3 linked regions of the Cricetulus griseus genome follow. Each later gene encodes a partner of the first gene's protein in a complex. Links are inferred from orthologs where the notes say so. Each region holds a gene or a part of one and is shown in the gene's direction. Other genes may lie near its edges.

Evidence for each region.
Region 2: Dab2ip (region 1) and Map3k5 share a complex: the UniProt entries of both Homo sapiens proteins name them as parts of the cytoplasmic complex. The link is inferred for Cricetulus griseus from reciprocal best matches to the Homo sapiens genes DAB2IP and MAP3K5.
Region 3: Dab2ip (region 1) and Dcp1a share a complex: the UniProt entries of both Homo sapiens proteins name them as parts of the cytoplasmic complex. The link is inferred for Cricetulus griseus from reciprocal best matches to the Homo sapiens genes DAB2IP and DCP1A.

Annotation. Positions count from the first base shown.
Region 1 is NC_048599.1:147,603,243-147,606,386, forward strand, and holds part of Dab2ip (disabled homolog 2-interacting protein), read left to right. Parts: intron 1-1,994; coding exon 1,995-2,082; intron 2,083-2,584; coding exon 2,585-2,655; coding exon of another isoform or gene 2,656-2,742; coding exon 2,743-2,747; coding exon of another isoform or gene 2,748-2,752; exon of another isoform or gene 2,753-3,144. UniProt on the Homo sapiens protein: Functions as a scaffold protein implicated in the regulation of a large spectrum of both general and specialized signaling pathways.
Region 2 is NC_048595.1:269,795,930-269,799,579, reverse strand, and holds part of Map3k5 (mitogen-activated protein kinase kinase kinase 5), read left to right. Parts: intron 1-675; coding exon 676-869; intron 870-2,631; coding exon 2,632-2,800; intron 2,801-3,650. UniProt on the Homo sapiens protein: Serine/threonine kinase which acts as an essential component of the MAP kinase signal transduction pathway. Plays an important role in the cascades of cellular responses evoked by changes in the environment.
Region 3 is NW_023276807.1:189,261,148-189,265,485, reverse strand, and holds the start of Dcp1a (mRNA-decapping enzyme 1A), read left to right. Parts: upstream 1-1,457; 5' UTR 1,458-1,539; coding exon 1,540-1,674; intron 1,675-4,338. UniProt on the Homo sapiens protein: Necessary for the degradation of mRNAs, both in normal mRNA turnover and in nonsense-mediated mRNA decay. Removes the 7-methyl guanine cap structure from mRNA molecules, yielding a 5'-phosphorylated mRNA fragment and 7m-GDP.

The DNA of each region.
Region 1 (3,144 bases):
GTCTGGAGATTTAGCTCAGTCATTAAGCTTGTATGCGGTGCTTTTACCCTTCAACCACCTGACCCAATATTTTTTTCATTAAATGTTGTCAACAATTTGATTTTGCATCTGACTATAGCATGCCTTGTATGGTTTTCTTTGTGTTTCTTGGGGTTGCTATTCTTAGATATGTAAGTATATGGTCCTGCTTCCTATTTCTTTCTCTGTGACTGCTGCCACCTGCCCTCACAGGTATAGTGTTTTGCTCTATGTTGTCTTCCATTTCATTATACTTCATGATTTTCTTTGTCTCCTTCCCCCTTACCCCCAAGAACTGAAAAACCAAATCCAGGGTCTTGTGCTTGCTAGGCAAGCTCTCTACCGCTGAGATAAATCCCCAACCTCCTGCCCCTCACTAAATCTCTAGCCCACCTCCCTTGTTTTTTAATTTTATTTTGTATGTACAGGTTTGCCTCCATGCTTTCTATGTCTGGTACCCAAGGAAGTCAGATGAAGGTGTCAAGTCTCCTGAACTGGAGTTAAGGTGCTTGTGAGCTGCCATGTGGGGGCTGGGAACTGAATTCAGGTCCTCTGCAAGAGTGACAAGTGTTCCTATCCACTGAGCCATCTGTATGGCCCCCACAGTTTTCTTTTTCCATGTTTCCTGCATTTTGTTTTATATGCATTTTTATATACTGGGTGGGGACTGAACCCAGAGCCTTGTTCAGGCTAGACAGTTCTCTGCCACTGAGTTATACCCCAATCTTTTTCCTTGAGACAAGCTCTCAGTCAATTTTCTGGGCTCTCCTTGAACTTGCTCTACAGCCCAGGCAGGTCTTGAACTTGCTAGGCTCCTCCTGCCTCTGTCTCCCAGGTAGCTGGAAGTTCAGGCCAGGGGCCATAGGCCCTGCTTGAGACGATTTCTGTGTGGCCTCTGTGGCGAACCAGTGCTTCCCTTGCACCTGTCATCAGCCCTTTCCACTTGGAGTATGTAGTTTTCAGCTCTCACTTTGTTGTAGTTTAAATCTCTCCTCTAGGCATGTGGAATGTCTACATCATGACTGTTTTAATGGCATTACTGACTAGCCTGTCATCTGACATCCCGAGTCTTTCTGCTCTCTGATTTTCCTCCTAGTTATAGGTTTCATTTCCTTACAGCTCTGTGTCCTCCCTAGATTTGGTGGGATGCCCTGCCTTGTGAATTTTACAGATTGGTGGTAGAGGTTGTGTGCCTGTAATTACTTGTGTAGGATTTGTTCTGAAATAGAGTGATACTGCCAGGAATCAGGTGTATCCTTTCAGGTTCGTTTTGGAGCTTTGCTAGTGTGAAACCTGAAGACCTTCAGACTTGGCCTCATTTGGCTGTATCATGTACACAGATACCTTCCCAGAATTCTTCATGGTGCCCCAAGTAGTGCCTGTTTCCCAGAATCTATCTGGTAGGAGCTGTTCCCAGGGTTGTGGCTCTTTCACAACCCTGCTCTGCCTACTGTTTGCTTACCTGCTTGCAGGGTGGAATTAGTAGGGTGCATCTCTGTCCTATAGATCCTCCACCTCAACCCTGCTGAATTCCCTCATCACCCTGATCCCAGGGGACTGCCAGCATCCCTGGATATGAGTTGCCCCACGACGACGACGACAGCTATACAGCTGTGCAGTTATAGGCCTGGTGTGGTGTTCCTGGTGGTCTGAGTCCCTAAAGGGAAATGGTGGAGCTTCCCTTACCTTGGGAAGCTTCCCTTACCCTGTGCCTTCACAAGGCCCACACTATCTCAGTAAATATGATGGAAGAGAGTCTAGAGCCTTCCAGGGTCTTCATTGTATTCCCTGCTACAGATCCTGTGACATGGCATTCCTTGTGCCCTGGAAGTGCACTGGGACAGGTAGCAGAGCTGGATGTGGGGAGTTGATGTCAAGACAGAGCAGCTCAGCCATGTCAGTGATGGGAACAGTTGAGGGGCCACCACGCATTTCGTCCTTCTGGCGCACCTGACTACCCCTGTCTCTGGTCACAGGTTGATGTCTGTGGAAGAGGAACTGAAGAAGGACCACGCTGAGATGCAAGCAGCTGTAGACTCCAAACAGAAGATCATTGATGCCCAGGTTGGGCTCTGGCCACAGTGTTAGAGAGCTTGGGGGGATGGGGAGGTGACTGGCTTCTCTATCGTCCTTGGTTATACCTAATTGCAAAAGCCAAGGACCAGGAACCACAGTCTCTGTTCTGAGGAAGCTGACCAGTGGAACTTACTGGGAGTTGGGGGAGGGAGAAGCAAGCTAGGTAGAGGGCCCCAGGCCCCCAAGTCCTTTCACTCAAGGCTGTGTCCCTTTCTTCCCAATGCCCCAAGAATTAGTTAGACTGTAAAGTACACAGCCTAGGAATGAGGAGCTCGATGGTGTTATGTATGGAAGAAAGCAAGGGCTCCTGCCTTTGAGCCGGTAGTTCTGCTTTAACTCTTAAGAGGCAGATGACAAAGTCTCAGTCTGTGATGGTGCAGAACCTTCCCCACACCTGACTTCCAACTAAGTTTCCCTGTTTTCCTTACCTAGCTGCCCTCTACAGTCTACAGCCCATCCCATGCCTTACTAATGCCCTCCTTGCCCACAGGAAAAGCGCATCGCCTCACTGGATGCTGCCAACGCCCGCCTCATGAGTGCCCTCACGCAGCTGAAAGAGAGGTACAGCATGCAAGCCCGTAACGGCGTCTCCCCCACCAACCCCACCAAATTGCAGATTACTGAGAACGGCGAGTTCAGAAACAGCAGCAATTGTTAACCTGCCTAAGGAGAGGGGGACTGTGGTGGCCCCGGGCAGGGTCTTGGTCTCAGTCAGGAGGCTCCCCACAGTTGCAGACTCGCCTGCAGTGGAGGGAGCACAAGACTGATGGAGTGTGAGCCGGAGGGCACAGTGCCCCCTTCTCTTCGCCCAGCTGAACAGCGGGTTTGGGTAGAGGCAGCAGAGACTGCACGCTGGGGAGCGGGGGACAGCCTGGAGGGAGGCCTGCCAAATGTGTCTGTTGGTGGTTGAATTTGGTATGTGTCACCTTTTCCTTCTTGACCAGCCAAGTGCATGTACCCCTTACCCATTGCTAGGGAGGGAGCTACCTGGAAAGGGCTCAAGTAAGATCTAAGGGCCACTTGTGGAGGTTCTCTTTACCTCCTGGGACC
Region 2 (3,650 bases), on another chromosome or scaffold:
GTACTCCATTGTGTAGATGTACCACATTTTCTCTATCCATTCTTCAGTTGAGGGGCATCTAGGTTGTTTCCAGGTTCTGGCTATTACAAATAATGCTTCGATGAACATCGTTGAACAGACGTCCTTGTAGTAGGAATGTGCTTCTTTTGGGTATATGCCTAAGAGTTGGAATTGCTAGATCTTGTGGTAGACTGATTCCCATTTTCCTGAGGAATTGCCATACTGATTTCCAAAGTAGCTGTATAAGTTGGCACTCCCACCAGCAGTGGAGAAGTGTTCCCCTTTCTCCACATCTTCTCCAGCATAAACTGTCTTTGGTGTTTTTGATTTTGGCCATTCTGACAGGAGTAAGATAGTATCTCAGAGTTGTAAATTATTCTTGTTTTAGCATGTATCCCAGTAGCTATGTGTGACAGTGCATACATATTTAATGGTTGATAAAAAAAATACCTTATGTGTAAATTCCAATTATACTGAAGTAAGCAATTAAGGAAATTGGGAAAATTCTATTTTCATGGGTCAGAAATAAGAAATGAATCTTGTCTGTTTCCCATTGCACTCAGAATTATTATTTAAATAATAATTTTAGTCATTTAAATACAGCCTGACTTTTTTTTTGTCAGTGTGGTGTCCCTAGACAAACTCCCTATTGTCTGGTGCCTCCTGTCTCCACAGATGTGCACTGGGAACTACACCTTTGTCCCTTACATGGTGACACCGCATAACAAGGTCTACTGCTGTGACAGCAGCTTCATGAAGGGCTTGACGGAGCTTATGCAGCCCAACTTTGAGCTGTTGCTGGGGCCCATCTGCTTACCTCTTGTGGATCGTTTTGTTCAGCTTTTGAAGGTGGCGCAAGCAAGTTCCAGGTAACACAGTGCTCACACTGGGTGATGATCGTGCAGGGTGGTTCTTGCTTCCTTTACTTGTGTATCTTGTCACAGTTCCTAATTAAGAGCCAGGAAACAATGTGCAGTATCCTCTGAGTGAAAAAAAATGGTTTTCTTTCTTTCTTTCTTTCTTTCTTTCTTTCTTTCTTTTTTTTTTTTTTTGGTTTTTTGAGACAGGGTTTCTCTGTGGCTTTGGAGCCTATCCTGGCACTCGCTCTGGAGACCAGGTTGTCCTCAAACTCATTGAGATCCACCTGCCTCTGCCTCCCGAGTGCTGGGATTAAAGGCGTGCACCACCAACGCCTGGCTAAAAACGTGGTTTTCATTCGTAAGTTGAACCTCATTCACTTGGTTTATAAACTACTTTGCTCCCAATCTATTAATTGTTTCATATTAATGACAAAACTGTATCTGTGTGTATGTATGTATGTATATATGTGTGTGTGTGTGTGTGTGTGTGTGTGTGTGTGTTTATACATGTATGTATGTATGTATGTATGTATGTATGTATATGGAGAGAGAGGGAGAGATCTCTTGTGGCTACATCAGAATGAATGTCCAGGGACTTTTAGTGTAAGGGACAGAACTCTGCAAAAATTGCTGAGAACACAGTTTAGTTAAGAATGATCTTCAGGCTGATGAGATGGCTCAGCAAGTACTTGCTGCCAACCCTGACTGCCCGAGCTCTTGCTTCCCTGGAACTTTCTATGCAGACTCAAACTCAAGTGCCACCATGCCTAGTAAATGTACTTAAAAAAAAAAACCAAAAGAATTACTAGTTATTTCTGTTTGTGGTGATATATTGTTCATGATCTAATAAAGCTTGCCTGGGGGCCGGGCGTTGGTGGCTTATGCCTTTAATCCCAGCACTCGGGAGGCAGAGGCAGGTGGATCTCTGTGAGTTCAAGACCAGCCTGGTCTACAAGAGCTAGTTCCAGGACAGCCTCCAAAAGCCACAGAGAAACCCTTTCTTGAAAAACCAAAAAAAAAAAAAAAAAAAGCCCTGGGGATCAGAATGCAAAGCTTGCAAAGTTTGCCACAGCCTTAGAAGCTGTGGCACACACCTTTATTCTCAGGACTCAGAAGACAGAGGCAGATGGATTTCTGTGAGTTCAAGACCACCCTGGGCTATGGGAGAGTGAATCTGTCTAAAAGAGAAAGGGAGCATAGGCCTTTAATCCCAGCACTAGAGAGGTATAGAAGGAGCTCAGTGCAGTCTCAGGAGCACTCTGAGATTTGGTGAGGAGCAAGCAGTCTGGAGATGCACTCTGAGGTTAGGTGGATCACCCCTTCTGAACATTGGTAGAGGTGAGACCTCTCTAGTGGCTGGCTGCTTTGCTTTTCTGGTCTTCAGCTTGAATCCCGATATCTGTCTCTGGGTTTTTATTATTCCTACCACATCTGTTAGTAGATAATGATACTGAGCCAGAAAGGTAAGGTTGTATTATATTCAGATCATAGGCATATCTAATTTATTTGGGATCATTTCCATCCAAAATAGCAAGGTGAGAAGTAAAGTTTCGACAGTGTTTGAAATATGGCAGAAATTGAGAAGAACTACACGGCTTTGCATCTCCCAAATGTCTTAATGATGCCAAATATTCGAGATGTTCCTTCAGTGCATCTTAATGAGCTAAAGACTGCTCATGGACAAATGTCATATATTTCCTTATAACATTACTGCTTTTCACTGAATTATTTTCAAAGAGTTAACTCTTTAAAATGTATGGTTTTTCACCAGCCAGTATTTCCGGGAATCTATACTCAATGACATCAGGAAAGCTCGGAATCTATTCACTGGTAAAGAATTGGCAGCAGAATTGGCAAGGATTCGGCAGCGGGTGGACAATATTGAAGTTTTGACGGCAGACATTGTCATCAACCTGTTGCTTTCCTACCGAGATATCCAGGTGAGAAGATAGTGTCTCTTGGGTAACATGCTGGAGGAGGAAGGGATGCTGGTGTTGACTTTCAGCTAGCTAATAAGTATTCCATGTTGCCGAATGGAGCTGACTGATAACTTTCCACCGTGTGGTTTCATGGTGAATGGAAAAGACTCACACATGGTGACTTTTGGGGATTATGACATACTCATATTTACTCTTCCTTAAAATTGCTCACATATCCAGCTCTTGGAGGCTCAGTTCTCTCTTGTGAGCCTCAGGCACACCTGTCAGTCAGCCAGTGAGTGAGAGCTTTCTTTTGGCAAACAGCAGAAGTTCTTAGTGCTTTCTGAATATATCTTTTACTTCCTGAAGTTATGCTACTGGAAAGGATCATGCCAGGAGTAAGAAATATGCAGCTGATTCATTGTAAAATAGAGGTAAAACCTGTAACATGACACGATGGCCTACGGTATCATTTCTACTGACATGTCTTAGTTTTTTTTTAGATCTGGAAAGTAGGATATCTCTCTGTGAAGGATATGGCATTACGGGTGTAGTGTAAAATCCAGGTAACTCCTGGTTTCTCATTCCCATGTCTAGCCTCTTGGCCTCAGGTGAGATTTCACCCATGAGGCTCAATTCTTAGAGAACTGTTTCAATTGAGAGTCTGTGGCTAGAGGAACTTTGTCCCATGAGATGAAATCATTTTGTTACTTAAAACAGAAGTTCAGTCAGTTGCTCCCTGGCCCTGAAAGGAACTGTTGGAACCCTGTGGACCAGGAGCCTGGCTGTGTGAAAAGAGCTGGTCATGTCTCTGTGGTTTATTTGTTTTATTTCTTTGGGTTTTGTCAAATTCCATATCTGTCTTTTTCAT
Region 3 (4,338 bases), on another chromosome or scaffold:
CTTCTCCCAGAGCCAAAACAGAGCTGGAAGCTCAGAACTGGCCAGTACTCTATAAATTCAATTAAAGTATACATGACAGAAGAGTGAATAAATAGGTTACTTTCCCTGCTTTTGTACTTGCTTCCCACGATTCTGTAAAGAATGTAAAGTTTGTTCTTCCTTTAGTAAATGATCTTGGGATGTAAAACTATAAGCAATACAAATATGTGGTGTTGTTTTGATGAAAACGTAGTTTGTTTTTTCAAAAATGTTCAATTACACCAAGGTGTCTTCAATAAAGGAAAATGGTTTTTAAAGCAATTTGGTGAAAATAGGGTAGGCATTTTGTTTTACTTTTTAGTAGTACCTCACTACTTAAGATGCCCAATAAATGTTTGGGGTTTGTTTTGTTTTGTTTCCTCTGTGTAACTGCCCTGGCTGTCCTGGAACTTGCTCTGTAGATCAGGCTAGCCTCGAACTCAGATATCCACCTGTCTCTGCTAAAATTAAAGGCCTGTGCCACCACCTCCCAGTTGCTCTTTGTTTGTTTTTAAAGTGATCTTCGTATTAAATAACGACGTTCTTTAATCTGGAACAATAGAAATATTTACCTGGGACTCGGATGAGAAAAAAATATGAGAAAAGGGCAAAAGAAAAGGAGTCCTGTGTAATTCCAGGCAAGCTAGTTTGGCTGCTTTGAAACATTTCTTTCAAAAATTACCAAATTGTTAACTGAAGGTCTGTAGGTGTAGTCTGAGGTCGGAGGTAAAGTAACATACAGCACACACACACACACACACACACACACACACACACACACACACTTTCTGAGTTTTCTAAACGATCACACACACTCTTTCCGAGTTTAGTTTGGCTGCTTTGAAACATTTCTTTCAAAAATTACCAAATTGTTAACTGAAGGTCTGAAGGTGCAGTCTGAGGTCGGAGGTAACATACTGCACACGCACACGCGCGCGCGCGCACACACACACACACACACACACACACACACACACACACACACACACACACACACACACACACAGTCTGAGGTCGGAGGTAACATACAGCACACACACAGACACACACACACAGACACAGACACACAGTCACACACACATACACTTTCTGAGTTTTCTAAACGGTCCATGGAGACGTCATTTCCACAGCAGCATTTCGATTCTGCGCCTGAACCTGAGACAGCCTCTGCGATGGAGTCCCGCCGGCTGACACAAGCCGGGAGCAGCCGAGAGCAGCCGGGAGTGCTCGTGGAAGGAGCTCGGGTCCCACCAGGTGAGCGAGGACTGGGGGCTACTTCCTCGTCACACGCAGCCGCGGACGCCAGCCAGTACCTTCCGGCAGATGCGGACCTTCGGAGACCGGAACCAGGCTCCCAGGATGTGGGAGTGGCGGAACAGAATAGTTAAAGTACCACCCTCCGCAAGGCCGGGCAGCTAGGCGGAAGTGAAGGACTGACTGAGCTGGGGGAACTTTGCCTGGATTGCACTTTCCTGTTCTCTAGTCCGCCCCCGCCAGAGGGGCTCGGCTCCGGGATTCAAGATGGAGTCGTTGAGTAGAGCAGGGCAAGAGATGAGTCTGGCGGCCTTGAAGCAGCACGACCCCTATATCACCAGCATCGCAGACCTCACGGGCCAGGTCGCTCTGTACACTTTCTGCCCTAAGGCCAACCAGTGGGTGAGTGAGGCCCAGCCGCGAAGGGTGCCAACCTGGCCGCTGCCGCCTCTTAAAGGGGCCGCGCAGGCAGCTTAGGATTGGGGGTGGGGGAGTGAAGCAGGACCGCAAAGGCGAGGCCAGAACCTCTCCTAAAGGCCCGGCCAGAACCAGAGGGGTGACGGGGGCACGCGGAATTGGAGGAAAGAAGCGGGAGAAATATAGCAGGGAAGATCTAATGGAGGGGAGGAATGAGGCAGGATCAGTCCTTTGGGGTCGGTTCTGGGGACTTGAGTAATTTTACTTTTTTACTGGTTGCATTGGAAGGATATGAGACAAGTTAGTTTTTTTTGGGGGGGGGAGGTATTTTTGTGACTGAAATCTGTGTTTCAGACTTTGAGAACTATTAGATAAATTACATGTGTCTAATCACAAAGTCCACCCCTCTCCCCCCAACCTACCTAAATGAGGTGATTTGGATTTGAAGCTTAAAAAATCAGTTTCAAGAGTTAGTCCCGCTTTAATCGAACTACTCTAGAGTTTGGGGAAAGATTTCAAGGCATCTAAGGAAAGGGCACTACGGTAAGAATAGGGTTCCTTGGAGACCTTTTGCAGGGAAAAGAGACCGGTGATACCTAATCTTTGATGGCTCACATCTGAGGACTTTTTAGATTTTGTGAGTGGCGATGGAGTTCCAAAAAGTTACAGTGCCTACTCACTGACTTGTTAGCTTCAACTTAAAGTACCTTTCAGTTGTTTACATGGTTTCCCATTTTCTTGTGCTGACTCTTTCTAATTCATTCAACTGTAAAAGCTTCATGCCTTTAATCTGTAACTGTTGATTGAATAGAATTCATCAATGATAGGCGTTCACCCTTCAACAAGTAATGAGGTCCTTGAACTAACAAAACGCTGAAGGACTGGTCTAACTTTTATTCACTGTGACACTGATACATAGATGTAATTTTGTGGAAGTGTATTGTCATTTATGAAAGTTTACGTCAGAAGAAGTTTCCATAATCATTTTCCTTCTCCTTCTGGAGGGGAAAGGGATGTAGGAAGCCACTGAGAATAAAATTACAAACTGTTTTACTGGTATACCTGTTTTAAACAGTGCCTTAGTTTGAAGTATTTTGTATCATTTTTCTCTGCTTCCTCTATATGTAAATTTGTAACATAAGGGCTGCAGACAATTGGTGAGAATTTGCAAGTAGCATTTATAACTGTTACCTATTTGTAGTTTTTCACAAAGGCTTGCAACACTTGAGGATTTTCACCATGGAGTTGTTTTAAAATGAAATTGAAACCTAAGCTGCTGTTTTTTTGGATCTTGATACATGGTGCATTCACCATCATCTTTTCTTATTTATTAGTGGTGAGTTGTAATTTTGCTCAATGTATTTTGGGAGGCAAGTTTACTTTTACTCTGAGACAACTGGCTGTCATCTTTTTCTGATGAGAGCATTTTTTTTAAAGCAAGAAAAGGCCTCAAGAAGGATAAGTTTCATTGTGATGTAGAAGACATGTACAAGAAACAGATCTTTATTTTTAATTTTTTATCACAACAATTTGTTTGATATAACGTTAAGTTTTGATAATCTTTTGGTTACATTTAAATTATCAAGATCCAGTGTAAGCCAAGAACTACAGACTGACAGGATTTTGGGGTTTTAGAAAAAAATAAAAGCACTCTGCCTGTGCCTAAAACCTGACTATATTCTTGTCAAAACAGATGAAAGAATATTAATGGGTTGTATTTTCTTGTTTTGTTTCTTGTAGTGCAGAAGATCAAACCTAGGGCCTCATGATCCTATTCAAGCACTGTACCTCTACCACTGAGCTATATATATCCAGCCCAAGTTATTTCTTAATCAAATTTTCAAATGTTTATTTTAAAAACCTACCAGAATTGCCTACGTCTGAGAATGAGGTCTATCCATGGATTCTTAACAAAGTGTTTGGTAGTAGTCCTTAACTAACCACAAAATTTGTTACTAATGAAAATATTCCTAAATTCTCCAGAGGTGAAACAAAGTATATAAGAAAATTTCCTGAGAGTTAGGGATTTGGCTCAGTGGTATACAGCTTTACATCATCAGCCCCAGACCCTGAGTTCAGCCCTGGTATCAGTTTACTTTCTTTTTCTATTAACTTTGATAGACTGTTAAAGTTTGGTCAGGTTTTTTTGTTTGTTTTTGAAGTTGCAACACAAAATACTTCAACATTAAGATACCTTGTTGAAAGGTTTTAGGTTTGGCAAAGTTAAAGCTGGGACTGGAAAGATGGTTCCTCGGTAGCTAAGAGCACTGGCTGCTCTTCAGAAGACCTGGGTTCAGTTCTCAGCACCCACATGGTGGCTCACATCCATCTGTAACTCCAGTTCCAAGGGATCCAATGCCCTCTTGTGCCCTCTGTGAGTTTCCAGCACACATGTTGCGTAGACGTGTGTACTGGCAAACATGTATGTTTGGTTTTTTAGTTTTTAAAAAAGTTAATGCATAAAAATAAAAAGTAAAGCTAATTCTGGTATTTTGTTTTTTAGTGGTCCTTAAGGTTTAAAATAGAAAAATGCTACAGATGTAGACATGTTGAATTGAACATTGATTACAATTATATAAACACCTATAGAGTTGAATGGATACACAATTTGTAAAAGAACCTGAGGTGCCCACCATAAAAAGCCAGGTG